Stegostoma tigrinum: one gene and its partners. The protein of the gene in region 1 interacts with the protein of each later gene in a biochemical or structural test. Links are inferred from orthologs where the notes say so. Each region holds a gene or a part of one and is shown on either strand. Other genes may lie near its edges.

Region 1 (10,504 bases):
CCAGCTGAGTAGCAAAGCACAATAACAAGGCTGAAGTAATATGAACCTCATATACCAGCTGAGTAGCAAAGCACAATAACAAGGCTGAAGTAATATGAACCTCATATACCAGCTGAGTAGCAAAGCACAATAACAAGGCTGAAGTAATATGAACCTCATATACCAGCTGAGTAGCAAAGCACAATAACAAGGATGCTGTGAGTAACCAGGTAGACTCAGAGTGATTGTACACTAACAGATTGAATGAAAAGTCTGGAGATACAAGCTGGTTCAGGCCATGAGGTGGGTTGCGTCTGAGTGTGCAGGTCCTTACTGTAGCATTACAGTGATCTTGCTGATACAGCATTGAAGTATCTTGTAAGTGTATCTTCTGAGATGTGTCTTGCAGGTTCTAAGAGCTAGCTCCCACTGGACATGGGTTGTTTGTGGCCAGTGTCCGCGGAGCATTCCCTGAAAAGTGGTGCCAAGTGTCTAACATGGAGGTTGTTTGAAGCATGCTGAATAAGCTCACCCTGGTTTTCTTGTTGAGGTTTCCTGACATTGAGTTGTTTGGCAAGTTTGGTAAGAAGGGAAACTAAATATTTATGAGGTGAGTTCGACTGTTACCAACATGTTTAACAAACAGTAGTCCCTGTCAATGGGCAACTCGCCTTTGTTGAGCAAGAATTTCACCACACCACTTGTGAAAATAATATTAGATCGTGAGAATTGCTCCCAATATCAAGATGGGTCTCACTGTTACCAACGTGTTTAACAAACAGTAGTCCCTATCAATTGGCAACTTGCCTTTGTTGATCAAGAATTTCACCACACCACTTGTGAAAATAATATTACATCGTGAGAATTGCTCCCAATATCAAGATGGGTCTCACTTCCTGATGCTACCACATAACCTATCTTAGTCCATGTTACCCCTATGTTTCTTTTGACTAAATGAAGGAAATGACATTCTTGCTTGACTAACTTATTTGAAATTTTTGAAAAGGTATCTGAGATGTAATCGATGGAATGAAGTTGTGTAATTTATCTGGCTTTTCAAAAGGTCTTCAATAATGAGCCCCCAATTAATGTATAAAAGAAGTTAAAGATTATGGAATCTGGGGATAAGTGGCAGAATGGACCATGAACTAGTTTAAAAGCAGTAAGCAGACAATGGGAGTAAAGGTTAGTCATTCACAGTAATAAAAGTTGGGAAATGGTGTTCCGCAAGAGTACGTGTAGCAGCATTGGGATTTATGATTTGGACTTTTGATCAAAATATTTTCTCTAAATTTGCATATTATACAGGGATAGTCAATACTTCAAAGGACTGTAATAAATAGTAAGAAAATATTCATAAACATGAAGAATGGGCAAATAATTTGCATGTTAACATCAGTGCTGATATACATGAGCAGGGTAGAAAAATTAAGGACTTATTACTTGGTAAATGAAAGTCTAGGTAGGTTAGAGCAACAAAAGGATCATGGAGTACAAAAGCACCAATCACTAAAAGTTGTCACAAGTTATTAAGGCCACCAAACCAAAACCAGGTGGCATAACGTGAGATAACAAGGTGTAGAGCTGATTGAACACAAAAGGCCAGGCAGTATCAGGGGAGCAGGGAGGCTGACTTTTTGGGCCCAGATCCTTCTTCAACGAAATGTCAGCCTTCCTGCTCCTCTGATGCTGCTTGGACTGCTGTGTTCATCCAGCTCTACAGCTTGTTGTCTCAGATTCTCCAGCATTTGCAGTTCCTATGATCTCTGGCATAAAGTCAGCTTTCTTCTGAAACCATAGAATTGAAATGTGGTGAAGCTTTTTTGTGTATCTGTATTAAATCTTGGAAGACCATAATTGCAGTCCTGGAAGAATGTGCACATGTAGTGAAGAGGGTGAGAAGAAACTTAACAAGGATAATACTGCAATTCCTGCTCAGATCAGATCATATCCTATAATTTCAGGTTAAAATTTTAAAATAGAAAAAAAAATTGTTTTGACAACCCACCATTCAATGAGTTTTTTTCTGCATAATGTCCTCTCACAAGAACATAGGAAATAAGAGCAAGACTAGGTTATACTTTCAGCTGCACTATTCCGTGAATTGATAGCTGATTCTCATTTTCAACTTCACTTGCCTTCCAGAGCCTCAATTCACTTAGAAACCAAAAGCCCATTGATTACATCCTTGAACATACTCATCAACTGAGCATGCATGGTTCCATGAGATAGAGAATGACAAAGATTTTCAACCGTCAGAAAAAACAAATTACCCCCCATAAGAGTCCTTTCTGTCCAACCTCTTATCCAGAGAATGTGATGCCTAAGTTCTGGTGTCCTTCCAACATTGACCCTGTCTAATCCCCACTGAAATTTTTACTCAGCCTAAAAGTATCAACTTCCTCGTACTCATTTGGAATTGATTTTCTTCCTACTCCATTAGAATTCTGGTTTCAAATGCTTTGATCATTACGTAAGAATTTGTTTTATTCTTTCACAGTATGTGGGCATTGTTAGCCAGGTTAGTGTTTGTGCCCTGGCCAATGGAAAATGCACCAAAAAGAAATAATGTATTTTTTGAAAGTGTAAGGATAATTGAATGAAACGTTACAATACATTTACAAATGATTCTATATTTAATTAGATGCATAGTATTACATGATTCTGTTTTGATTTTACATCTAGTTGAGTTCCATGACTCACCTTGATTCTAGTTTTCAGCTTTCTTTATAGGAACAATCCATTCTAACAATGCAGAATTTACACCTTGTCTGCACAAAACATCAGTTCCAATAGGAACTAAATATATTTGTCCTAATGCCAAGTCACTGATCCGAACTTTTTCTTTCTTTTTCTCTCCGTAGATACTGCATGATTTGCTGTTTCCTTTATTTTCTAGTTTTACTTTAGATTTCCAGCACCCGCTGTACTTTGAGAACATCTCTCTTGTGAGAGAAGGCAGGAAACCACAGCAAGTTATATCTGAAATACTTGTGGTTTAAGAGTTTCCTGCCACATTCCCACTGTCACTTAGATTAGTGACATCAAATCAACCAGCAAAGCCTGAATGCTGTATAGATTCTGCTTTTGCTTTAGTCTTGTATTAAATTATATTTTAAGTACAGCATCAACTGGGAAAACAAACTATAAAAACTCTTAAGCTGAATCAGCAATATGCAAACAGGAGGGGGATTGCACAACATAGGTATCCCCAAGGTAGATGTGGTCTTAACATGAATTAATTTTGCATTCAGTTTGAGGGAAAGAAGGGTTTGTCTAAGACAGTTATTTTAAACTTAAGTAAGAGCATTTATTAGAATTAGTTGAGGTACTGGGGAATTAAGTTAAGGGGTAGATCTGTGGAGATCTGTACAGATACAGTGGCAGAAATTTAAGGAGATATTTCAGAACAATTAGAACAAAGATGCATTCCAGTGAGAAAAATTTTAAGGGTAGAATACACCATCTGTGAGTAACTAAGGAAATACTTAAAGATAGTGTCCAGTTGAAAGAGAAAGAATACAATTCCATCACGATTAGCGGTAGGTCAGAGATTAGTCAAAATAGTGCTTAGAGACATCAGGATACTTATATATAATACATGGGATAATGGCATCGAGATAGAAGAACTGCCATTATCTCATTATATGACAGAGCAGGTTTGATAAGCTGAATGGGTCTCCTGGGCTGAACCATCTCTCATTTCGGCCCTCATGCTCTCTCTTCTCTCCCACAACAAGGACAGGGTCCCCCTACTTCTCACCTACCATCCATCAGCATCCACATACATATGATCATTAGCTGCCATTTCACTACCTCCAATGGGTTGCCTCTACCACACGCACATGCCCCTCCCTTTCATTGTCAGCCTTCTTTAGCGACTGTTCCCCCAGGGACACCCTGGTCCACTTCTTCACTCCCAACATGGCCCCCAGGGCACCTTCCCCTGCAATCACAGAAGGTGTAACACTTACCTAATTGCTCTCTCCCTCCTCACCATCCAAGGCGTGAACACATCTTCCGTTTGAAGCAGCCCTTTACCTGTTTCACTCAATCTAGTCTACTGCATTATCGGCTGCTTACGATGTAGTCTCTATACTGGGGAAACGAAGTGCAGACTGGGTGACTGTTTTGTGGAACACTTATGGTCTGGCTGCCAAAATAACCCTGAGCTTCCAGTTGTCTGCCACTTCAACATGCCATCATCTTCCTTTGCCAACATCTCTGTCTCAGGTTTGCTGCAGTGCTTCATCAAAGCTCAGTATAAGCTGGAAGAACGGCACCTCATTTTCTGCTTGGGAACTTTGCAGCCTTCTGAACTCAATATCGAGTTCAACAATTTTGGAGCTGGAGCACCTTCTCCCATGTCCTTACTCCAAAAGCCACACACCTGGCCTTGTCATCACATGGGCTGTGGAAAGAAAGACGGGGGTCAATGGACCCAAACATTAACTCTGCTTTCTTTCCATGGGTGCTGCCAGACCTGCTGAGTTTTTCCAGCAATTTTTGTTTTATTTTCTGACCTCCTCCCGTTTCTATTTTGCATGTTTTTATGTAAAAAAGAAGCAACAATGACGAAGAGAATAATGAGGAGGGAGAATTTTTATGGGAGTACAAGAGAATAAATGCTGGAAATATAGAACAGATATTCCACATGTCTGGGGAATTAATGAGGGAGAATAAGCAAATAGAAGATGAATTCATCAGATTTTGTGTTTGTCTTCACTGCAGAGTACACAAATAACATTTTCAAAATAATTGTAAATCAAAAGTTGAAAGGGAGGAAAGAACTTAAAAAATATTATCACCAGGGAAAGGATGTTAATAAAATTATTGGAACTAAATTAGCACAAGTCCCCAGGTCCTGATGGGCTTTGTCCAAGGATCTTAACATTGATGGCTGCTGGATGTATTGGTTTGAATTTTGAATAAAGAAGATTTGTTACTGAAAAAGTCCCACCACGTTGAAAGATTATGAATTTGACTACTCTCTTCAAGAAAGAAGGGAGATAGGAAGCTACAGGCCAGTCAGTTGTCATGGGGAACATGCTAGAGCCTTGAAGTAGTGGTAGTACAACAATTGGAGAAAATTCTGAAGGACAGGTTTAATCTCCACTTATGAAGGCAATTTGATTAGGGATAGTCAGCATGGCTTTGTCAGAAAGAAGTAATTGTAACAAATTTGACTGAACTTTTTGAGGAGGTGACCAAGTGTGAAGATGAGGATAATACAGTAGATGTAGTTTATATTGATTTTGGCAAGTCTTTGACAAGGACGCACATATGGAAGGCTGATAAAGAGGATAAAATCACATGGGAGCCAGGATAACTTGGCAAGTTGGATCCAAAATTGTCTTCATAGTAGGAGACAGAGGATGGTGGTAGAAGGCTATGTGAGTGGAGATCAGTGCACAGTATTTATCTACAATCACAAACAACAAGGTAGACCAATATTCATGGAGGCGTGGAAGAGCGAGTGATAACTTGGGTTGTGTACGACACAAAAGGTTGGCTTCGTGGTTAGCAGTGAGGAAGAAGTTCTTGGGCAGCTGGAACTTAACCGTGATAAATGTGAAGTGAGGCCTTTTGGAAGAAGTAACTTGGGAGTACTCTGGGAAACTCAGAAGAACACAGGGTTCTTGCATGGGTGTACACGGATCCCTGGGGCAGGAGTTCGGTGGGGAAGCTAGAAACCGAGCCTGGAGTTCGAGCCCGGAGCTACAGACCGAACCCAGGGGCTGGATGCCAGTGATTGATCCTCTTCGTCGTGCGCGCGGCTCCACCATCGAAGCCGAAGCCGAGACGCGCGGGGAAACTGGCCCCGCCCCTCTGCCATCAACCAGTAAAAAGGGGGCGTTACCATATGACGAGCCGGGTGTGCTCCTATTGGTTGGTGCTGAGAGTCCCGCGGCCTTGTTGTTTTGTGCTTGTGCAACCGGCCACCGGAATTCGGGAGGAGACTGAGGATAGTCTCTTCGAGCTCAGAGGGCACGGGGAAAGCTTCGATTGAGTGGCTGTTTTCTACTGTCGCACTAGAATGCTCGCTTCCAATCTGTGAGGAAAGGCAGTGTAGCTGAGCGAGGTCGGCGTTTGTGCTTTTCCTTCAGAGAACTACGAAAACAAGATGTCCGCCCGGGTGGCCGGAGCAATGGGCAAGGTATGTGGGGGTGGAGCGGGGGGCGAATGAAGAGCGAGGAAAGAGGAGGGATGGGGACAGGAGGAGAGAGAGAGTGAGAGGACAGTTTGGGTAAGCGGGAGTTTTGGCGGAGGTGGTGAGTTCGGGATAATTGTGCAGGGAAAGGCTGAAAGTTAGCGGACGTGAACCTACTGTAGTTGGTTAGGGCAGGGGGAGGTGGAGGTGAGGCAGTGGAGTGCGAGGGTGCGTAAGTGAGGAGATCAATAAAAGGGCGGTGGTGAAACCCCGTCGACGAGACAGATACTGGTCTGTTCGTCTTAGGCTCTGTCTGGAAGTTTCCGTCGGCATCCTGCCCTGACACTGGAGGACTTTGTGCTTGCGAGAAAGGCGGGGGTATTGGGTACGACATATCAGAGGGTCCGCCAGGCACACGGCCACTCTGGTCAGGCTCTACCACGGAGTGGGCCAATGACGAGGGAATTGATAGACATTAACCGCATCTTAAGTCTGGGTTCAGTTCCTTGTCATCTCTCTTTACTGCCACCGACATTTAATTTATTGCTGGGTCTAGTTATCGCGAATGTATCGGTTTACAAACTTTCACTTTGCTGTTTGAGCTTAAAGTCTTTCCCGACATTTTTGGAGATCAGAGAGTTGGCATTTTCTTCGTAAGAAGACTTTTGGCCAGGACTTCGTTGTCCTAAAGTGAGGTCTGGTTTCAGTTCGATGATGAAACTTTTTGGTATGCAGGAGAGGAGAAAGGGTGCAACGAATATTTCTGCTGTGTAACGCTGGTTAAATCGTCATGAAACTAATAGACAGATGTATTGAGTTTCCACTGACAGGCGGCTGCGAAAGCACAGATCTGAGTTAGTTTGTGCTTGTACGTGTTAACCGACCTTGGATACTTTTGAGTTGAACTCGATGACAGTGAGCTGCAATATTAAATTCGTTTTCTTGTACTATCTGTTATTAAACTGAACAAAAGCCCTTTGAAAATATAAAGTATTCAGATGTTGCATGGTCAATACATTCTTAGTGAAGTGATATTTTGAACTTGAAAAGTATGGTCTATGTAGTAATCGAATTTGTTTAACCAAGTTGAAGAATTGATTTCAACTTTGGGTTTTTAGGGGCGAATGGTGATACTCCAGTCTGATAAACTCTTGTCTTAAGTTTCTGTATTTGCAAATCAATTTCATGGGGTAGGGGATGTATTAAAATTGTTCATTCTGCGCAGACAAGCTGTAAATACATGCAAGTCCTGCCTTAGTTCATTTTGCAAAAGCTGGCATGTCTATAAACACTTCAAGGTAGTACAAGCAAAGAGAGATCTTGAATTGAAAACATGGAGAAATGCGACCACAAAACCAAGTTTTAAAAAAACGAGAGGTCGTGGCTTCTGTGAATCAGGAACAAGAACAGAAGTTGCTGGAAAAGCTTAGCAGTTTTGGCAGCATCTGTGACTCTTCAGACCAGTACCTGTTGTGTCAACAAGGATCCACCACTGCCCTTTTAGATCTGATATGGCTCTTTGAAACAAATGCTCCAATGTTCATAGAACTTGGCTTTTATTTGAGAAATGTAGCAAGATTTGAAGAGTTCAGGGAAATCAGTGTGTTGGAATGTGGTGGATAAGGAGCTCAGCAGGCTGGAGTTCCCAGTGTGGATGGTATAAGCTGAGACCTAAAGTTGCATCAAAGCATAAATATAGTTGTAGGTGAGCATTCTGCAGGACATACCTTGGATGAAGCATGTAGAATTGTAATAAATTATAATGCAACTGCATTTGAAACAAATAAATACATTGGGTTCTTCAGAATTGTACTGTTTTGCAGTCAGTTTTAAGAATAATATGATTTGGAAACATTATCTGTCTACAGTCACCAAGTCAGGAATAACTTGGCTGGTACAAAGTGAATCAGTCAAGTTACCCCCCCAGAACGCATCTTTTGTGTCACTTGTTTCTCCTTCAGGAAAATGCAGGTTTCCTGTTTTTGCTGCATGTTTAGTAGCAACTTTACAATTTTGGACTGATGCCCACGAGAAGCCAAGTTGAAGACTAAGGTTAATTCCAAGTAAAATCTATGTATCTAATTGGAAAGGAGAGGCTTTAATTCAGTCTTGACAAGATGTAATATGTGTTGATGTGAGTGTAAGAGTGGGGTACCAAACCCAATGAATGTTCCACAACCTCAATTATATGGCACAGATATTACATTATTTTTCAGCTTCCTGTTTGGCAATGGTAAATGCACCAAATTGCTTGGTTTTGTTTTAAACATCGATTTCAGAGAAGTTAGTTCTACGAATATTAGCAACACAGATCTCTAAACAATATATTTCAGCACTTGCCTTGTGGAAATGATGCTTGCGTTTGGGACTGAGTGCATTCAGTAATTTTGGCAACCTCCTGTAAAGTAGCATGGACCCTACCTTTTCGTATCAATGTTTGAGTACTGTGAGTGAAACTGAAATTATTTCAGTTTCCAGTGTCACTTCCTGTAATTGTGTAAAACTGCAACAAAATTCAACAATGGCAACAACTGACTTTTTTTGTATGCAGCTTGTAATGAAGGTAAACATTCCCAGACACTCTACATGGATGCATAATAAGAGGAAAACAGAGGCAAGAACAAAGAAGGCAGAGTTAGTCAGAGTCATAGATTCATAAAGCACGGAAACAGACCTTTTGGTCCGACTCGTTTATGCAGAGCATGTTCCCAAGTTAAACCTGACCCATCTGCCTGCATTTGAACCATATCCCACCAAACCTTTTCTAGTTGTGTACTTATCTAAATGTCTTTTAAATGTTCTGACTGTACCACTTCCTCTGGTAATTCATTCAATACATGAACCACTCTGTTTAATAAAATGTTACCCCTTGTGTTTTTTTTAAAGTTTTTTTTTCCTTGCGCATTAAAAAAGTCCTCGTTTTGAAATCCCCAACAGTAGGGGGTGGAAAAGAACCCTTGCTGTTTACCTTGTGCCCCGATGATGATTATCTAAACCTCTCGAAAGTCACACTTCAAACCTGTTGTGCTCCAGTGAAAATAATCCTAGCCTAACCAGCCATTTTTATAGCTCAAATCTTTCATTCCTGGCAACATTCTGGTAAATTGTTTCTGAACCCTGTCCAGTTTTAAAATAACCTTGCTTGGCAACCAGAACTGCGTACAGTATTCCAGAAGAAGCCTCACCAACGTCTTGTGTAACCTCAATATGACATCACAACTCCTAGATACAAAGGCCTGAGTAATGAAGGCAAGTGTGTTAGATTAGATTACCTACAGTGTGGAAACAGGCCCTTTGGCCCAACTAGTCCACATCGCTCCTTGAAGCACCTCACCCAGACACATCCCCCATAACCCACACACCCCTGAACACTTATTTAGCATAGCCAATCCACCTAGCCTGCACATCTTTGGACTGTGGGAGGAAACCGGAGCACCTGGAGGAAACCCATGCAGACGCGGGGGAGAATATGCAAACTCCACACAGACTCCCGCCCAAGGCTGGAATTGAACCTGGATTCCTGATGCTGCAGTGCTAACCACTGAGCCACCACGCCGCTCTATGTCGCCTTAGCCACCCTGTCTAGCCGTGACACACATTTCAATCAGTAGCTTAGTCAAAAAAGTGGATTTCAAGGAGGGCCTTCAAAAGGAAAGTATTTAAGTGGAGATGTTTGAGAATACCAGAAGAAGGGTCCTGGTCAGCACTGAAGAGTGCGCATCAAAGGCCCATAAGGGCATGACTTGTTTCATAGGGAAAATAGATAATGGGGCTTACAGAGGCCAGAACCATGCAAGAATACCGGGATGAAAATGTTAGCTTTTGACTACTGGATACCGTCACCCCAATGTTGACTGAGGGGGGCGGGGGTACTGGGTTTTGTGGAACTTGTTGCAAGTCAGAATGTTGGCAGCTATGTTATGAATCAGGTAAATTTTATATGGGTAGAGGATGGGAAGCCAGACGGTTGAGCTGTGGAACACTAAAGTGTGGATACAATTGTTTGGGATCTCAGCTGCAGTTGCACTGAGCTAAGGGTGAATGAGGCTACAGAGATGAGAGCAGGTGTCTTTTGTGGTGAAGAGAATATGGAGATAGTGAAGAGATTGAGAGAAATAGAACTGGCTGTAATTTCATCTCGTCTGTGGATGATCTTACAAATGATAGTATGTAAAGTAGAGGGCACTAGGACAAATGTTCACTGGCCTGGGAAGTCATGCTGTAATGGACAAAATGATAAGCTACAGATGAGCTTGCCTACCAGTTGATGTGAGACAGTGGAGCCAAATGAGGACAGGTGAACTTTAGGTGACGATGTCAAAGGCTGCAGAAAAGTAATTGTGGCAATAAAGGAAATATGATTGGAGTGATTCA
Region 2 (10,530 bases), on another chromosome or scaffold:
GAAACCAAGCGGAGGCTTGGGGGCTGCTTTGCAGAACACCTCCGCTCAGTTCGCAACAAACAACTGCACCTCCCAGTCGCAAACCATTTCCACTCGCCCTCCCATTCTCTTGATGACATGTCCATCATGGGCCTCCTGCACTGCCACAATGATGCCACCCGAAGGTTGCAGGAACAGCAACTCATATTCCGCCTGGGAACCCTGCAGCCATATGGTATCAATGTGGACTTCACCAGTTTCAAAATCTCCCCTTCCCCTACTGCATCCCTAAACCAGCCCAGTTCGCCCCCTCCCCCCACTGCACCACACAACCAGCCCAGCTCTTCCCCCCGACCCACTGCATCCCAAAACCAGTCCAACCTGTCTCTGCCTCCCTAACCGGTTCTTCCTCTCACCTATCCCTTCCTCCCACCCCAAGCCGCACCCCCAGCTACCTACTAACCTCATCCCACCTCCTTGACCTGTCCGTCTTCCCTGGACTGACCTATCCCCTCCCTACCTCCCCACCTACACCCTCTCCACCTATCTTCTTTACTCTCCATCTTCGGTCCGCCTCCCCCTCTCTCCCTATTTATTCCAGTTCCCTCCCCCCATCCCCCTCTCTGATGAAGGGTCTAGGCCCGAAACGTCAGCTTTTGTGCTCCTGAGATGCTGCTTGGCCTGCTGTGTTCATCCAGCCTCACATTGTATTAGCTGGTGGATGTTATCATGTTCACAGTTTTCACCAGTCTCAAATCATGAGGAGTACAGCTATGATTCAACACACAACCAATACTCCCAACACCCCTTTCCTCCCAAGGTCAACACCCACCAACAACCCCTACTCCTTCCAACTCCAAAGTCCTCCCAACCAGTCCTCAAATCAACTCCACCTCCCTGCAAACAGTCCCCTCCCCCCAACAACACCCTCAACCAAACTCATTCCTCTAAACAACTCACCCAACCAGCCACTATGCCCCTAACTCCAATGCCCCCATACAGCCCCTTCACCCTAAACAACTTCCCCAACCAGTTTCTTCCACAGCATACGGCCCAAATAAATTCTCCTCAACTCCACTATCCAACCACCCTTACATTCACCAACTCCAACTCACGCCCACCATCCCCACTCTCCCTAACAGCAACTACCCTCCAAACAATCCCCTCCCCTCAAAAATTTGACCTAATTAGAATTAACCTTACTTTCTCCAGCTTTAACACCTTCTAATCACCCATAGTCTGCCTTAATTCCAACACTCCCAACAATCCCCTCTTTCACCAACTCAGTCTACCCATACCCTCTCCCAAAACACTCCTTTCCCACCCAACTACTCCTCCAACTACCCTCACTGCCTTGACTTGAACTCCGTCCTCAACTACCCTTTCTCTCCCGCTATTTAAAACCCCAAGGATCACCTACACTCCAACTCTGATGTCCTTCTGTAAAATGAAAGCGAGTGATTCACAGATACAGTATCGAACAGAACCTGACACTGAATCACATCTGTAGGTATCAAGTGACCAAATGTTTGATCAGAGGGCTAGATTTAATCAGCATCCAGAGACTGGAAAGACAGGTGAAGAGGTTTACAGTGGGAATTTCAGAGCTTCAAAGTTGGCTCTTGTGGTACAGCGGTAGTGTTCCTACGTCTGAGCCAGAGGCCCTTGGTCAAGTCTCACCTGCTCTAGTGGTGTGTAATAACATTTCTGAACAGGTTCATTAAAAAGCCAGGACTTCAAAAGTTAGTACCTAAGGGCAAACCAGAAGCAAGGAATCCTGCAGTGATTAATTCACCTCCAGACTCTGCAAAGCCTGTCCGCTACCCTCAAACCACAGATCAGAAGTGGGATCAACTTGCCTGGGTAAGTGCAGCTGCAGCACGAGTCAAGAAGCTTGACACATCCAGGACTAAGCAGCCTGCTGGATTGGCACTACATCCAATAACATTCACTCCCCCTCCAAAGTTCAGTGGCAGCAATGTGTACTATCTCCAAAACAAATTGGAGGAATTTATCAAAGTTCCTTAGATTGAACCATCCAAACCCATGACCAGTTCCATCTAAACAGACAAGGGCAGACATGGGATCACCACTACCTGCAAGCCCCTCACCATCCTGACTTGGATACATCTGTTCCTTTAGTCTCTGGATCAAAATTCTGAAACTTCCTCCCCAAGGACAGCAGCAATTTGAGAAGGCAGCCCACAACCACCTTCTCGATGGCAATAAACTCAGGCCCAGCCACCAATACCCACATCCCATGTATGAATAAAACAAACTATGGTGGAGCAACTAAAGTTGGAGATGGACAAAAATCCAAAATTGCAGGGGCACAAGTAACAACAGAGGTTGTAGAACGGCTTAACTTTGCAGAAATAGGGAATAGCAAGGTGATGGAGTCACTTGGGATGGATGCTGAGGAAATTAAAAATCAAGACCAACAGTGAACAGAGGCCAGCGAAGTGAGCAGTGATTGGTGACCAGGCAGTGGCACAAGTTAGGATAATGGCAGCAAAGCTCCAGAATGTGCAAACCCAGCCAGGAGGACACGTGACTAGTGAACTCTGAGAGTGTGGCTGATTGTTTGAGGAACAGGAGATGAGGAGGCTGAAGTCTGGCAGCCTTACGGTTGGCAGCCATGTCAATGGAAACCCATATCAGACTAAAAAGAAAGCAAAGTGCTGTGAACAGATACTAGACATGGATGCTCATCTGAAGAGGTTAGCACAATGAGCTAAATGGTCTTTTATGGACTTTGAGATTTCTGTGTCTGGTTCAGCATCAGGCAATTGAAGGGGACAGGGTTCAAGGGCAAAGAGGTAGGCTTTGCAACGGGGATTAAAGACTCTAGGTTCTGCCTTCCCAAGACACAGTTGGTGGTAAGTTTCTGTCTATGGTGTCCTGGGAGCAGAACAACAGTTTAATAAACATGAGGCAGGAAAGCTGTCAAAACAGACATTGGCAGGTCCAGCTGGGTGTGGTCAGTCTATATTGATAACTGACAGCATTACAGATGGGAGAACTGTCAATGAGATGCAGGAAGGGGTGAAGGGGTAACAGCAGAGGTGAGAGGAAAATATTCGGCTGATCTGGGGCCCCGAATGGATAGCTAACAGCGCCAGCAGCTCACAGTTCCCTTGTTAAAAACCGAAAGAACTGCTGCTGCTGTAAATCAGGAACAAAAACAAAGTTGCTAGAAAAGCTCGGCAGGTCTGGCAGCATCTGTGAAGGTAAAAACAGAGTTCTCCTTCTATTGAGAGGCTCTCTTTCAGTATGCGGGCGAGAGAAGGGCCTGAAACAGATGCTGTTTTTTGGCGTACACTTTTAGAAAGAAAGGGAACATTTCAGAGGCCGCCTACCCCAGGAAGACCAGTTGCAACTTGCCCTCACATCCAGACGCACAGAGTAGCCTGGAGCGCTTTCACTGGAATTAACAACTGAGTAACTTCTAAACAAACGGGCAACGGAGCACCTACCGGGCGACCTGGCAAATTCTTCACGTGCGGAAGCCCAGTAAATCCGCCCCGTGAGCTAAAACGAGGGAGAGCGAGCGCGCTCAGGACAAGGCATAGAGACCTGAAATCAGCAAGAGTGCGGGTTCTCCATCACTGCAGTAACTCAGAAAGTGTCCGCGGTTTCAGGAGACGGACCATTATTTTGTAAAGGGAATATTAAAGCCTCCTATTGACCAATGAAAGCTTCCTTCTGATAGACAGAGATAGAAGGAGCCCGCTCTCCATCCCCCGCATCCACTTACTGTGCAGTTTCAGCATTGAGTCGTAGACTTTACACTGGACCTGCCCGGTACTCTGAGACACACAGGACATCCAGAGCCCCTCATAGATGGCCTGCGCCGTCACGATGTTCTCCCCGGCGTAAGACGAGGTTTTCCATTGGGGCAGAGCGGTGCTGGTAATGATTCCGATCCAGCCGAAAAAAGCCAGGGCAAAGCCCAGGATCTGGAGACCCGAGTTGGCCATTCGCGTTCTGCCTGCAGGGCAAAGGGAGATGAGTTCTACCTCACAGCGAATAAACCGTGTCCCCCAAATCCTACAGGCAACACCCCTCCCTCAAAACCACCCCCAGCTGCCCCCCCGCCCTCCCCATCCTTCCCCAGGAACTGTACCTGACTCTGCTGGAGAACTTGTTGCTCTGCTGCCGAGTTCTTGGGAATATACCTGATCTGTCAGCCACACCTTAAAGGGGCGGATTCAGGTTCCGTCGGCCAAATCCATATTACTCGAAATCTCGATATCTCTCAGTGACTCCCCGGCATCTTAGAGCCTACTAAAAATGGCAGATGATGCTACATCGGTTGTTCGTTTTAGATAACTGAGATAGATAAATTTCTGTTCAGCCAAGGTATTAAGGGATATGAGCTAAAGTGGTTCGGTCACAGATCAGCCATAAATAATCTCATTGAATGGCTGAACATGTTTAAGGTCCGAATGGCCTACTCCTGTTCCTGAGTTGCTATATCTTTCCATCTCTCTCTCACTCTCATTATCTTAAAATCTGTCTTTATTAGTGTACCAAACAATTCTATGTCTATGTGCTTGTCTCTGTGTCACCCGTAGTATCTCTGCATTTCTCACCGTGTGCCTGTTTCTCGCAGCCTCTCAAAGAACCTTCCGTTCGGTCCCCAGTCTGCCAGCCTTGGGCAGATTTTCAGGCAACTCAAATTAGGCAAGAATTCACCACCTCCACCCCGCGTTCCACGTCAATTTGCGACACCTCGATTTAATTTTTTAAAAATGTCCAATAAGAGTTCTTTCTGCATTAGTTTCTTCTTAGAATCATTTGTTTAAGAAGCTGCAGAAAATCTTCAGTCTGAATGTAAGGGAACAAAAATGTCTGAGCCTCCAACGATTGTTTAGTGTGCGAGTTGGTATTGATCTGTGTGTTGAGTCAACTGACCCCAACAGAGCAGCAAAAGACAGGGTAATAAAGTGTGAAGCTGGATGAACACAGCAGGCCAAGCAGCATCTCAGGAGCACAAAAGCTGACGTTTCGGGCCTAGACCCTTCATCAGAGAGGGGGATGGGGTGAGGGTTCTGGAATAAATAGGGAGAGAGCGGGAGGCGGACCGAAGATGGAGAGAAAAGGAGATAGGTGGAGAGGAGAGTATAGGTGAGGAGGTAGGGAGGGGATAGGTCAGGCCAGGGAAGATGGACAGGTCAAGGAGGTGGGATGAGGTTAGTAGTTAGGAAATGGAGGTGTGGCTTGGGGTGGGTGGAAGGGATGGGTGAGAGGAAGAACAGGTTAGGGAGGCAGAGACAGGCTGGTCTGGTTTTGGGATGCAGTGGGGGGGCGGAGGATGATGCGTTGTATCCGGAGGTTGGTGGGGTGGTGTGTGAGAACGAGGGGGATCCTCTTTGGGAGGTTGTGGCAGAGGCGGGATGTGAGGGATGTGTTGTGGGAAATGCGGGAGATGCGGTCAAGGGCGTTCTCGACCACTGTGGGGGGAATGTTGCGGCCCTTGAAGAACTTGGACATCTGGGATGTGCGGGAGTGGAATGCCTCATCCTGGGAGCAGATGCGGCGGAGGCAGAGGAATTGGGAATAGGGGATGGAATTTTTGCAGGAGGGTGGGTGGGAGGGGTTGTGTTCTAGGCAGCTGTGGGAGTCGGTGGGCTTGAAATGGACATCAGTTACAAGCTGGTTGCCTGAGATGGAGACTGAGAGGTCCAGGAAGGTGAGGGATGTGTTGGAGATGGCCCAGGTGAACTTGAAGTTGGGGTGGAAGGTGTTGGTGAAGTGGATGAACTGTTCGAGCTCCTCTGGGGAGCAAGAGGCGGTGCTGATACAGTCATCAATGTAACGGAGGAAGAGGTGGGCCAACCTCAGCAAAAGACAGGGGCTTGGGCTTGAAACAGAGTGCAAAATCCCTGGATTTTCAAATTGAGGGCATGATATGTGGATGGGGGATTGCTTGCTATTGTTGGACTGTAAGTGAAGTTGGATAAATGGAGCTGGGTGCAGATTGGGCATGGACAATGGTTGAATGGCATATCAGTCTTGTGGAGCTAAACATGCTTCTTCTGTTGTGGATCAAAATTATTTTGTTTATAGGGGTCAGCTGACCCAACACGCAGGAGATCAAAATCACGCTGTACACTAAACAATTGTTGGAGGCACAGAATTTTTTGTTACTCTACATTCAGACTGAAATTTTGAATGTGTTCATTTATTAAACAAAACTCTCCATGAGGTTCCAAAAGTGAACTGGGTCACCATAATTCAGTTGGAATATCATGTGATTCTCAGACACCAGTCTCAGTTAAACTGACATTTGTATTGTTTGAGTAAAGCAAAATCAGAAAGTGATGGAGAAACTCAGCAGGTCCAGTAACATCTGTGGAGACAGAAAATGAGTTAATGGTTTAGATCTTCCTCAGAGCTTCAGTAAATGACTTCTTCTGATTTTGAAAAGCAGACATTTTCACCTCAAACCGTTATCTGTTTCTCTCACCACAGATGCTGCCAAAACTGCTGAGTTTCTTAAGCACTTTCGGTTTCTATTTGAGATCGCTAGCATAGAGTCATAGAGTCGTTCAGCACAGAATCAGACCCTTTGGCCCAACCAGTCTGTGTCATCAACAATCACAAATTAAACTCGTCCTACCTACCTGCACTTGGTCTATATCATTCCAAACATTTCTTATTCATGTACTTTTGTAAATGACTTCTAAATGTTGCAACTGTACCTGTGCCCGCCACTTCTTCTGGAAATTAATTCCTCATGTGAACCACTCTTTAAAACAATTGCCCTTCAAGTCTTTTCTTTAAATCTTTCTCTTCTCACACTAAAAACATGCCACTTAGTCTTGAAATCTTCAACACTGGGGAATAAGCATTTGCCATTCACCTTATCTATGCCCCTCATGATTTTATGAACTTCTATAAAGTCACCCCTCAACCTCAGTAAAAAATGTCCTAGCCTATCCAGCCTGTCCCAGTAATTCAAATCCGCCATTCCCAGCAACACCCTGGTAAATCTTTTCTGAGCCCTTCTTAGCTTAATAATATCCTTCCTAACTGCGGTTCTGAGGAAGGGTCACTGGATCCGAACCGTTAACTCTGATTTCTGTCCACAGATGCTGCCAGACCCACTGAGTCTTTTCAACAATTCCTGTTTTTGTTTCTGATTTCCAGCATCTGCAGTTCTTTCAGATTTTATTCAGCAGTGCTTTTCTTTTGTTTTGAATGGGTAGAGTGTTGGGAATTATTGAAGCCCTTCTGAGATGTGGTACTCAGTGGCAGGATCAATGCTTGCTTCTAGTTTCTCATCCCATATATGACTCTTGTCTCTGATGTATTGCTCCAGAAATGATTTTTAAACCACTAATTCTTAATATGTGAATATTTCTAGTAAGGTCAACATTTACTGACCATCCCTAATTGCTCAATTTTGATGCAAAGTAGCTAGCCCTTATGAATGAACGGCATTTATTTCATTGGATGTTGGTATCAATGGCTGGGACACCATTGGTTGCCAAACCCTAGATGTCCTTGAGAAGGTGTTGGTGAGCCACTTTACTGACCCACTGCAGATATGGATACATTCACTGTGTTGTTAGTAAGGGAGTTCCAGATATGGACCCAATGAAGAATACAGTTCGAAGTCAGGAAGCTATGTGTCTTGGAGGGGAGCTTGCAGCTGGGAATGTTCCCATATATCTATTGCCCTTATCCTTCTCTATCACAGTGGTCACAAGTTTGGAATACAGGCCAGACTTGTACATTTCCTTCCTTGGGGAAAGCTTTCCCTTTTTTAACCATGCTAGGAGATCAGTGCACTCTGGGCTGAGAAACAAATTAAACAGAGAACAAAAACTGTGGAATTTCGAGATGCTAGAGGAATTTAGGACTTCTAGTGCACAAGTCACAAAATGTTAGTATGAGGCTACAATTGTATAAGGAGGAAAATGGTATTCTATCTTTTATTTCAAGAGAAATTGAACATAAGAGTGAGGAGGTTATGCATTAGTCATACAGGGCATTGGTGAGAATTCATCTTGAATATGGTGTATGGTCTTGGTCTCCTTATCTAAGGAAAGATGTAAATGCATTGGAGATTGTTCAAAGAAGATTTGCTAGATGTCATGTTGTTTGTTCCCACAAGACTTCCAAAACGTGAGGGGTGATTTGGTTGAAGTATATAAGATCCTGAATGGTCTTGACAAGGTGGATGTGGAAAGGATGGCCATCTAACCCAGGTGTCTCATTATCACAGCCAGCAGAGTATTTGACCATTGAGTCCCCAATCTTTCTGATGTATTGAGAGGTGCTGCTGTACCTGTTGCATCTTTATAATCTTACCCTGATTGAGAGGCTGTGATTGTAGATTTAACACCACAACAATGTCCCAGGAGAAACATTTTTTGAGGGTTGTTATTGAGGGTCAGTCACGGAATGAGGGCAAACAAAATGGATCACAGGAACTCTCAGAGGCCAAGACTGTCAATGAAATCTTTAATAACAAATCCTCCAAATGATATAAGATTGTTCTTAGCTTTTATTTCCCAGATAGCTCTAGCTTTATTGTTTGATCTCCCCAGTTCTGATCAGTCAGTATTTATACATCCTTATTTTCACTTCCTGCCCAAGGTTTTTTGGCAGAGAGAAATTCCAGTGTTAGACAGAGAAGCTCAGGAGCAAAATATCATTAGGAAATGAGTGAACCTCCCTCTACAGTATCCCCATGAAACACATCCAGACCAGATACAGCATGGGGTTAAATATAGAATAAAGTCCCCACTACACTTACCCCATCAAACCTCTCTGGACAGGATACATAAAGTAAAACTCTCACTATACTAGGTTTTCATGCATTGCCAGATTATCCACAGGCACTGCTGCAATTCATCAAGTTTACTTTGACAGCACTTCCCAGACACATGTTCTGTACAAGACCAAGGGTATTCTGTGCATTTGAAAGCAGCCAAGCTGCAGAGCATTTTGAATTGGACATATATCACAAGATCCTTCAGCGTCAGTCAAATGTTGAAAGGGCCTTCCGATCAAACAAAGGAAGCACGTTACAGTGGGTTCAGCTATGTTGAGCGTGAAGAGAGTAAGGCACGGCTGATGGTCTTTTCTTTAATGCCAGGAGTGTAATTGATAAGACTGGCGAGTTAATGGTATGGATTGACTCAGGGAAGCATGATATTGTTGCCATCACAGAAACATGGTTGAGGGAAGGGCTGGACTTGCAACTCAACATTCCGGTGTGAGACAGATGAGGGTGTAAAAAGGGTGATGGTTAATTAAGGAGTCAAGTACTGCACTAAGGAAAGATGATATGTTGGAAAGGTTCTTAAATGAGGCTTTGTGGGCAGAACTTAGAAATGTTAAGGGAGCAGCTACTTTACTGTACTATAAACACCCAAAGAGTCAACTGGAAATAGAGGAGCAATTATGTAGACAGTTCACAGAGGTGTGCAAGAGAAGTTCAGGGAGCAGTTCAGCTGTGGCTCCAGAGGAATACAGGAAGTGTAGGAGGGAACTCAAGAAAGCATTTAGAAGACCAAAAGGGGGGCGTGAAAAAGGAATTGCGAGCAGGACTAGGGAGAATTCTAAGATATTTTATAAATGTATTAAATGGGAAGAGAGGTTAATCAAGGAAAGATTAGAATCCATTAGGGACAACAGGGCGACCTCTGTGTAAAGCTGCAGGATATTGGAAGGGTGTTGAATGAATACTTCTCTTCAGTGTTCATTCTGGAAAAGAGGAACATAGGTATGGACTTCAGGAAAAGAGGCTGGGAGGAACTTGAACATTTTGACATAGGATACGGGGAGATATTGGAGGCTATACTCACCTCAGAAACAGACAAATCCCTGGCCAGGATGAATTGCACCCCAGGCTGCTGTGGAAGGCAAGGCAGGAAGTTACAGGGACTCTGAACAAACTTTTAATTCCGTTCTAGCTACAGGGGAAGAGCAACAGGATTGGAGGGCGGCTAATGTGGTTCCACTTTTTAAGAGGGATGGTAGATACCCTTCATCAGAAAAAGACAAGATGAAGCAGGACACTGGGTAACTTAGAGGAACAGAGGGTTCTTGGCGTAATTATTCATAGATCCCTGAAATCAGCAGAGCATGAAATAGGATAGTTAAGAAAGCCTATGTGACTCCTGCTTTCATCAGTCATGGCATACAGTATAAGAGCAAGGAGGTAATGTTGGAGTTGAGCAGAATTTTGGTCAGGCCACAACTAGAGTACTGCATGAAGTTCTGCTCACCTCACTACAGTGTACAGAGAAGGTTCACCAGAATGTTGCCTGGAATAGAGAAATTGAGCTATAAGGAGAGACTAGATAGGCTTGGATTGTTTCCCTTAGAGCAGAGAAGACTGAGGGGGGGACATGATTGAGGTATATAAGATTATGAGAGGCATGAATGAGGTGGATAGAGAACAACAGTTCCCCTTGGTTGAGGGTTCAATCATGAGAGGGCATAGTTTTAAGGTAAGCAGCAGGCGTTTCAGAGGAGATTTAGGAAAAAAACATTTTTCATTCAGCGGTTGGTGGGAATCTGGAATGCACT
Region 3 (10,038 bases), on another chromosome or scaffold:
TAATTTGAACAATAAGAGTTCTAAGGTGATTAAAGCAGTATTGGGTTAAAGAAGATCTCATCTAAAATAAAGAATTTTGATTGTGTTCCTGAGTTTTTTTGGAAGCTAAGAAGTGATGGTCAAAATTAGTTCAACTTATTCCAAATACAACATTTTTTTGATGCCAGAAACATTGTATTAGATGGTTTAATTTATTTTTAAAAAATTTATTATTGACTGGAGAAGTATGTTGAAAATAAGTACCCTTGTTTTTCATGTTCCCTCATAGTGTTTCATTGCTTTTCTTGGTGGATTAGATGGTATCAGGAACAATGAAAGGCAAAGGATGACACATTTTGATTCAATTTTTGACATCACATCTGGTGATGAGTTCAATGGAAAACAAATGAGGTTAAACCAGTTGCCAATTTTCCGCAGTCAACAAATTTCACAAAATCACATCATGCTATGTTTTTACCATAAATGATTAAGCAGCTTGAAAGTAACAAGTGATCTTGTGGCTGCCTTCCAGAATAGTTCAAATGCTGGCAAAACTAATGTTATATGTATACAATAGTGCCATGAATGAACATTGGTTGTGGCCAGAGATCAACGACAAAGTCCAAAGTGCTTTAAGTCAAGCAAGAAGTAAACAGTCCAAAGACCATGACTGGAATTTTTATTTCAAATGGGTGTGGGAATGGAAGGGGTGGCCCCTCCCCATATTTTGCACCACCAAATAATGTACCAACATCTAGCTATAGGACCTGGGAATCCACTCACATATAGCAGATAAGCAACTGTTAAAGAAAATAAGTTCGTTGACAGTTTGGCAAAAGTCAGTTTTTTGCTATTTTGGTAAAATGTTACAGCAATCACAAAAGTCCATCGTAAGGAAGTAGAACACTATGAAAATCATAGTCATGATTGCAGGAGATAATCAAAAGAGATTATAAAATGTGGTAGCCTCAGAGACACCTGTATGAATTTCCATACAGTTGTCACCATATGGACATTGCTTCTTGAGCACTTAGATGGCAAATACTCAGGCAATTCAGGGGAGTAGGGTGACTTGTTGGTAAGCTAACAGTGATCTTGGGAGCAGGCATGGAGTGAGAGGTTTCATGAACTTTGATGGTCAAGCCGGGGCAAACTTGGTCAAGAGAATTACGTAGAGACCTGTAGTGATGATGACCAGCATTTGCAACAGGTGGGAACACAAATGAGAGGAACAAGGGCAAGATGATAATAAAAGTAATATCCTCTGCACAGGGTATACCATGCAAAGGAAAAAAAACCACCCTTATGTCTGTGCAGCAGGAGGCTTTGCCTTTCCATACAGGTGGCTTCTGGCTTGTACAGTTCTCTCAACCAGTGGGATGGACACAAAGACCTCAAGAGTTGGCATGCTTGCCAGTGAAATGCTGCCACAAGCTTCTTACCAATGGTTAAATCATTCTCTCATTTCTTTTCACAATTTAGTAATACAACTTATTCTCAGCAATATCATTGTTATTTTTAATGTTCTTAAAGATATCAGTGAATGGTCAACATAATATGAACTGTAAAAATGCACTCCTTGGAAAAAGTAGGTTTTTTTTGTTTTTATCATGGTAAGACAAGGTTTTGTTTTGATGACGCATAAATCTAAAAGGTTAAGAGCCACGGCCTACTACAGGACCTCTTCCAACCACAAAGTTTTCAATTTCTGACAAAGTCACAGTGGCCTTGGTCTGCTTCGGCTTTGGTTCATTTCAAGATTTGGTAGCAGAACTGTTTCTTAGGTGGCAATTTATTGTTGCATATGACGGATCACTAATGCTCATTTGAGAGAGCAGGGGAATACATGGAGTTTCCAACATGTGTTGGACTCCCCTTTCCAAATATGAGGGAGTAATTAAAGCCCTTACACCCTGAATTAAATTCCTTCTCATGGATATTGTGTTTATTGATTATAGTATAATATATTATATTGGTATATTGGGCTGTTAATAGGTTATTTCTCATTGTTTAATGTGTTAATCATTTACGGTGCACATAATCATATTATATCTCTCATACAGTCACATGAAGGAGTAAGCCACACAGTATGATGTGTGATAGTTAAAGCTGTGGCTGTTTCCTACCTTTGTCAGCTGTATTGTTCTATGTTCTATGTTCTATAATACAATGTCCCTCTTTGCCAAAACCTCCTTGTAAAGCACCTCGAGAGAAAGATCAGAAAAACTTACAGCATCCCTAGCATGATCTGTTGCCTGCTCACTGCTCTGTTCACACCTCCATCTGAGAATGTAACAATCAGCATCATGAAGATTGACACCCAGAATGAAATCCTGTATTTTATTACAAAACATTCCTGCAAATCTTTATCATCAACTGAACACATTTAGAAAACTTTTCAGTCAATGATTTTCTGTTTGATGCGGATAGTGCTCAGTTCTCAATGATATATCTACCAACGATATCAAGGCCCAAAATAAAATCTTTTTTTCCTTCCTCCCGTGTACAAATCTGGTTTGCAACATCACTTACATATTTACTTCACTTTCTGAAACAATATGGAGGAAAAATAACTACTTTTGCATTTGTTTACTATTTTTTAATGAAAGAAAGGTTATGGCAGACAGTGAGGAAAATGCAAGTAAACAAGATAAGTTAGCAGCATTTATGGAATTTGATCTAAAATATCAGTCATGGCTAAAAGGCTTTGGGCTGAGTTCCTGCTGGTTTTCAGACTGTTTATATAAATCTTAGTTTAAATGGAATATTCATATCTGAAACATGTCTTTCACATTTGCTGTTGGACCCTCAGCATGTTGCAATAACATTGACATGAACTGTCACTTCCTCCCACACATTTCATATGTATACAGAACATATAACAATTCAGCATATGAACAGGCCCTTCAGCCCACCATGTCTGTGTTGACAGTGATGCCATTGTCAACTAATTCTATCTGCTTGAAGGCAGCTCTTCGTGCCAAGCAGAGTAATCATATTCTGCACCATTTCATTCAGAAACACGCATACTCATGGACATGCAAGTCATCTTCCAAGCTACTGTAGCAAACTCTTCTTCGAGTGTCAAATGGCCTACCCTTAACCTTTAATTTTTCAAAGTTATTTGACGAAAATATTACTTGACTGAACAGTGCTGATGCAGCCTAGAAAATTGAGCACACCGCACATGATCAGATTTCACAATCCAAACTTAGCCGATAGAGTCACAGATCGGGACAAAAATGAAATGTTCAAGCCCAGAACTCAGGGGAAAAAAAACTGGGACCTTCAAAATAAACCATTCATGAATAAATTTAAAAAAGCACAGCACAGCTTTTGGTAGATAAATTTAATATTAATTTGAAATGTTTAAATAAAATAAAATTAGAGCTGTGCTTTGGGCTGCAAAAATTAAAGTAAATTGGAAAAAATATCATAAGCAATTTTTTTCTGGATGTTTTTGAGTAATTTGTGGGATTAACACAGCAATATTACTTAGTCACTGCATCTTTAACATTGAAAATGCTTAATAACTTGATATCAAAGTTTTCTTGTTCTATTACAGTTTCATTAAAATACTTCTGATATTTTTGAAACCTCAAAGAAATGAAAGTTTTCTAAGATACAACTTAATGTTTCACTTTTATTTTAGAAGTGTGTTTGGCGAGATATCATTGGTGGAACTCAGATGCAGAGCAGAATGTCAGTATGTCTAAGGCCACTCCTGTTCTCGCTTTTCAAATAAAGTTAAATTGATTCTTTCCACCTGAGTACACCTACCTACAACATGCTGTTTTGTGTTATTAAGGTTTGCACTATCCTTTGGACACAGTAATGATTGAGCAGCTCTGCTGCAGGGGGGTAACATTTAGTACTATTATCAGGAAAACAGAAATACCTTGTATGTGAAACTTGAATGCATCCCCTTGTTTCTAGAGTGCTTGAAATATGCTTGCACAGTCAGTCACAGTCCAAACTGCAATAAATTGAAAGAATAAACCTATTCTCAAGAGTATCGATCCACAGCAGAACTCAGAAGTACTTTAGGAGAGTATAGAGAAAACTATTAAGTCCATTTTAAGGTTGTAGATCTAATACAGTGAGCATACGCAGGATGAAGATGCCAGGCTCCATTTTTATGTTTTGGGCGAGTTTGTCTGGTGGGACTGCGATCTGGCCCACCTGGCATGCAGTATGCATAGGACCCTAGGTCTCTGCTCTCCCCTCTACAGCTGAATTCTTGATTTCCTGACTAACAGACTGCAGTCAGGAAGGATAAACACCAATACCTCTTCAATGATAATCCTCAACACCGATGCCCCATAGGGCTGTGTACTCAGCCCCCTACTTTATATCTTACACACATTTAGCTGTGTGGCCAAATTCCGCTCCAATGCCACTTGCAAGTTTTCTGATAACAACATCGTTATAGGTCAGATCTCAAACAACGACAAGACAGAGTGCAGGAAGGAGATAGAGTGCTTAGTGCCATAATGTGAAGACAACAATCTCCCCATCAACATTGGCAAAACAAAGGAGCTGATTATTGACTTCAAGAAACAGAGAGGAGGGCACACCCCTGACTCCAATGGTGCTGAGGTGAAGATGTTTGAGAACATCAAGTTCCTAGGAGTGACGATCACCAACAATCTGTCCTGGTCCACCCACATTAACACTATGGTCAAGAATACACAACAACGTCTCTACTTCCTCAGAAGGCTAAGGAAATTTGATATGTCCACCAGGAATCTGACAAGTTTTTAAAGAGGCACCAGAAGCACCATAGAAAGCATCCTATCTGGACGCATCACCGCGTGGCATGGCAACAGCTCTTCTCGAGACCACAAGAAACTACAGAAGCTTGTGAGCACAGCCCAGTCCATCGTGCTAACCAGCCTTCCAAGCACTGACTCCATCTATACTGCCCATTGAATCGGGAAAGCAACCAACATAATCAAAGGCCCCTCCCACCCCAGTAGTACCCTCTTCCACCATCTGCTGTCAGACAGAAGATACGAAAATGTTAATACACATATGAACAGATTCAAGAACAACTTCTTCTGCACTGTTACCATATTTTTGAATGGACCTCTCAAATGTTAATGTTGATCTCTCTCTGCGCCTTCTCAGCAGCTTTAACACTATATCCTGCACTCTGCTCTGTTATCCTGATGGGCTTCTATAATACAATCTGCCTGTAAATCATGTAAGACAACACTTTTCACTGTACTCAGTACATGTGACACTAAAAAATCAAATCAAATGAAAACAGGGCGAGTGAGTAATCATCAGGATTTTTCTCTTGGCTACCATCTGACTGCCACTGCTGCAAGTGTGAATGATATGTTGAGATTAGTCAGGTGCAATGCCTCCTGTAGTGAAGTAGCCTACAGAACATCCACAATTGCACGATGGTTATTTGAGACTTGGGATAGGCACTGAAGGATGCTCAGCATTATGTGCTAATAGGATGTGGGTGTCACTGGCTATTCTAGTATTTATTGTCAATCCCATTTGAATGCCAATTAAATGTGAGATCACATCTGGAGTATTGTGAGCAGCTCTGATCTCCTTATTTAAGGAAAAGCATCATTTTGTTGAAGGCAGTTCATAGGATGTTCATTAGGATGATTTCTGGTATGGAGGGAAGATCTTACGATTGAACAGATTGGGACTCTAGTCACTGGAGTTTGGGATAATGAAAGGAGATCTCATTGAATCAAATAGGATTATTGAGGAGCTTGACAGGGTGAATGCTGAGAGGATGTTCCCCCTTATGGAAGGCTCTGGGACCAGAGGAGAACGGTGGCCCTTTATTCTACTACAATTTAAGGCTGGGACAAACAGAAATTTCTTCTGTCAGAAGATAGTGAGTCTTTAGAACTCCTCCATACAAAGAGCTATAGGGACGGATTCCTTGTGTATATTTGAGACTGAGATGGATAGATTTTTGATCAATAGGCTAAACAAAGGCTACAGATAAACAGCAGGAAAATGGACCTGAAGAATGTTGGATCAGCCATGATCCTATTGAACGGCAGAGCAGGTTGGAAGGGGCCAAATAGAACACTGTTGTCCTATTTATTATGTTCTTAAAAAAAAAACAAGAAAAACTACATGTGCTGGAAATCTGAAATGAAAAAGAGAGAATTGCTGGAGAAATGCAGCAGCACCCACGGAGGGAGAAGCAAGGTTAAGGCTTTTACTCTGGATTCACTCTTCTCCCTTAAAATGTATCAGTGAACCAGACAGATTTTAACAACAATGAACCATTCTGATAGTTTTTACTTCCGCATTTTATATGGAGTTCAAACTTCACCATACGCCATGGTGGAGCTCAAATTTATACCCTCAAAAAAATTACCCTGGTGTTCTGGATTACTAAACAGGTGATTTTAACATGTCGCCACTGTGCCCACTGTGGAACCATAACGTGTAACATCAACTCTTCAGGACAGGAGCGCAAAAAACACTGGCAGCGAGGGAAGAAAAATAGTTTCGCCAATAAAACTTCAAATCGTTTGCACAGGTGTTTACCGCTTTCAAGATGCGGAGAAGAGCGCTCCTTTGTTTTATAATTCATCCCTGGAGGTCGCCTCATTGGCTGCAGAGCTTGCTCTGCCCTGTTATGTATTCTGTCCCAATCAGTGGTTCCTTTAAAAAGTCCAACAGCAGAGAAGAGAACGTCCTAACTTATTACGTCTGGGATTAATTGACCTTACGAAAGGGCAGAACATTTTGTTGCAGAGTTTTAACAGGGACCAGCTGGTAAAGCGATACACGACAGTTACTTGCTTGGTCTTTATTTGTGGTTCTTCTCCGACTCATTTTACGAGAAGGGAAGCTTTCGCGCTTGGAGCTGTAAACTGGAGACGAAATGGTGAGTTCTACTCTGCAAATCTTCAGCCTGGTCCTGGCAGTCATTGGCTTGGTCGGGACGTGTGCGGTGACCGGGCTGCCCCAGTGGAATGTGACCGCCTTCATTGGGAGCAATCTGGTGGTCTTTGAGAGGAACTGTGAAGGTTTGTGGATGAGCTGCGTTCAGCAGGCAACTTTTCGGATGCAGTGCAAGTTGTACGACTCGTTCCTGATCCTGAGGCCGGAGCTGCAGGCTGGCCGTGCGTTGATGTGCACTGCCGTGGCGCTGGCTTTTCTGAGCATCCTCGTCGCTGCCATGGGAATGAAATGTACTCGCGGTGGGATTCAGGATGAACAGGTAAAAAGCCGCATATTGATAGGCGCTGGAGTTCTGCTGATCCTCACGGGAATTGTCGTCCTGATCCCCGTGTCTTGGACCGCCAACATAATCGTTCGGAATTTCTACGACCCGCTGGTTTTGGAAGGAATGAAACGTGAACTGGGCGAAGCCCTGTACATCGGCTGGGCGACTGCCGGCTTCCTGTTAGCTGCAGGGGCCATCCTTTGCTGCTCGTGTGTGAATGGACAGAAACGGAGTTACAGTTATACACCTGGACAACATGGGAAACAGCCCCCAAAACAGACAACAAAGAAAATCCCCAGCATGTATTCCAAAAGCGAATTTGTCTAAATCATTTGAGATTCGCGGTGCTTCAGAAACTTACCAATCCAAAGGATAGAACCTAGGAGTGGTTAAAGCGACAGCGAAATGTAGAGAAGCATCATCCCTTCAGGTTTCGCGGTGAAATGTTGGGCTTTACATCCTTATCATTGTCATCATTTTTATAAAACTTATTCTGTCCAAATACCTATATTTTGTGATCTTTGTAAAACATCTCTAAAGCAGTTTGATGGATGTCTTTTTTATATCAAAGTTAGTTTTAAAAATTAAAGTGTGTATCTATTCAAATGTTTAAATATTTGCTGAGTGCAACTTTACAGGTATCTTTAAAAAAATGACTTACATATTCTTGCAAAACTGTTAGGGTTCAGTGGGACATTGCTTTATTACAGTTGGAGACTTTTTGAAGCAACACATAGTCTTATGGCATTCTGTCAACTGAATATACCGGCGTTTCAAAACTTTTTCTTACATATTGAGTTTTCATTTTAAATATTTCTGTGAATAATGCTCATACAAATGGTTGGCCATTGCAAATTTATGTCATAAATAATTAAAAATAATTTAATTATTTTCTGCAAATTTAGTTATTTATGAATTAACTTTATTGCATATCAAGATAGACTTGAATTGAATTGGACTTTTAAGTTCTGCACTGTACACTGCTCTTTAAATAATGCAAGTGGGACATGATTGAGGGTGAGAGTCCCTTTGTAAGGTATTTACAGTTTTTCCACCCCTATTGGTCTCCCTTTGATATGTGTTATAGTCAGTCAAGCTAGTGGGTATCATGTTTACAATATTTTTGTGACATTTTTAAACTCTGCTGCCAGATTCATTGGAGCATATGATGCAACTCATTTTCTTCCTTTCTTAACCATTCTGTTGCATCCTGGGTGTGCAGTTGTGCCCTGGTCTTTTCTCAACATTCCTCCATTTAATCTGGTGAATCAACATGTTGGAGCTCAAAAGCACAAAGCTGTATTGAGCACTTCACTGATTTCCTCCCAAACACACTATTGCTGCATTTACAATATCTATAATAATAGTCCATTTCAGGATTCAATAAATTTATCTGGTTTAGTGAGTTACCATTATTTCTTTTTTTCATTATAAGTTGATCTACATCTAGCATTTCATAATCAAATGGCAATGCTTATGTAGTGATAGTGCATTCATAGTTTTCAATTTATTTTACCACCCATCCTGTGTAGGATTTATACATATTAATTTCCTACAGTCAAACTTCTGTCGGCATTTCCAACATATTGATGCCTCCTCCTGCTTTCTAGTGATTATAGCCTGAAGTAATCTGTATTGGTTAGAATAGTGCAGATGATGAAATAAGGATTCTGCTCAAGTTTGTCATTAGGAATTCTATTTTTCAAGTTACTGAATATTTTGGATGGAATGAAATCAGACCTCGCCTCACATAAAAATCAATTTTGATAAATTTTCAAGTATTTTTATATGGAAGGCTTAAGATGACCAGAGATATCCAGTCTAGTTGGATTAACCATTGGAAATGCAGGGTTGTAGAGATAGGCTGGGTCTGGTTGGGATGGTTTTCAAAAGTTTGATGTGGTCTTAATGGGCTGAATGGCCTGCTTTCACATTGTAAGGATTCCATGATTCTGTGAAAATTGTACTGTTGAACCCAAGTATAGTTTATCTGCCATCACAGTTGACTTACGCCTTCATGTTCATATGGCTGATATCAGCTATTCCACTGAAATTGAAATTTTCCAGGTGCCATAATGGATTTTGAATTTGTGTCTCCAGATTATTAGTTCAAACCTCTGAACCACCAATCCAGTAGCATAGCCACTATGCCATTGTTAATATGACTATAATAAAAAAACTATATATACTTACAGTGGATCTTACCCATTCCTGTTATGATAGTGATGAAAATACACACTTAGGACCTATACTACATTACTTAGTACGTTTAATGGAATAAAATGATATTAAAAAGGAAAAAGATAACAAAGTGTAAAGCTGGATGAACACAGCAGGCCAAGCAGCATCTCAGGAGCATAAAAGCTGACGTTTCGGGCTTAGACCCTTCATCAGAGAGGAAGGAAAAAGGAAAAACACTGATTTAAGATGGGCACAGTGAATACCTGACCAAGCTGAGCCAAGCTTGTGAAATTATCAATAGACAACATCTAGTCAGAATTAACATGCATCAAAATGATTGAAGTAAGTCACTGATATCTGTATCTTTGGTTCGATTGACACCTTTCTGGAAGTTTTCCATATTGGGGTGAATGTTGCCCCCAGTTTATCCAATTTGGAAAAAAAATGCAGACACAGGAATCCACAAAGGAACTGTATAACAGAAACTTAGGAACAAAATGAGAGAGGAAAAAATGGACTCATAACAGCAGAACTGGAAGAATTGCTATCTCTCTCTCCCCAGGTTGTCTTCGTGTTTCTCAAAGGACAGTTCCTGGTGATCAAACAATTTGGAGAAACAATCACTCACTGAGAACTCAACAATATTTACTCATTTA

The links.
Region 2: the proteins of tjp1a (region 1) and claudin-1-like form a complex in vitro, tested with the Homo sapiens proteins (2 studies listed by BioGRID and IntAct, with this or other methods). The link is inferred for Stegostoma tigrinum from reciprocal best matches to the Homo sapiens genes TJP1 and CLDN1.
Region 3: the proteins of tjp1a (region 1) and claudin-8-like form a complex in vitro, tested with the Homo sapiens proteins (2 studies listed by BioGRID and IntAct, with this or other methods). The link is inferred for Stegostoma tigrinum from reciprocal best matches to the Homo sapiens genes TJP1 and CLDN8.

Annotation. Positions count from the first base shown.
Region 1 is NC_081389.1:26,743,674-26,754,177, reverse strand, and holds the start of tjp1a (tight junction protein ZO-1), read left to right. Parts: upstream 1-5,871; 5' UTR 5,872-6,103; coding exon 6,104-6,136; intron 6,137-10,504. UniProt on the Homo sapiens protein: TJP1, TJP2, and TJP3 are closely related scaffolding proteins that link tight junction (TJ) transmembrane proteins such as claudins, junctional adhesion molecules, and occludin to the actin cytoskeleton.
Region 2 is NC_081367.1:55,481,563-55,492,092, forward strand, and holds the start of claudin-1-like, read right to left. Parts: upstream 4,625-10,530; 5' UTR 4,575-4,624; intron 4,190-4,574; exon of another isoform or gene 4,106-4,189; intron 3,971-4,105; 5' UTR 3,960-3,970; coding exon 3,737-3,959; intron 1-3,736.
Region 3 is NC_081365.1:60,186,772-60,196,809, forward strand, and holds claudin-8-like, read left to right. Parts: upstream 1-6,570; 5' UTR 6,571-6,856; coding exon 6,857-7,528; 3' UTR 7,529-8,037; downstream 8,038-10,038.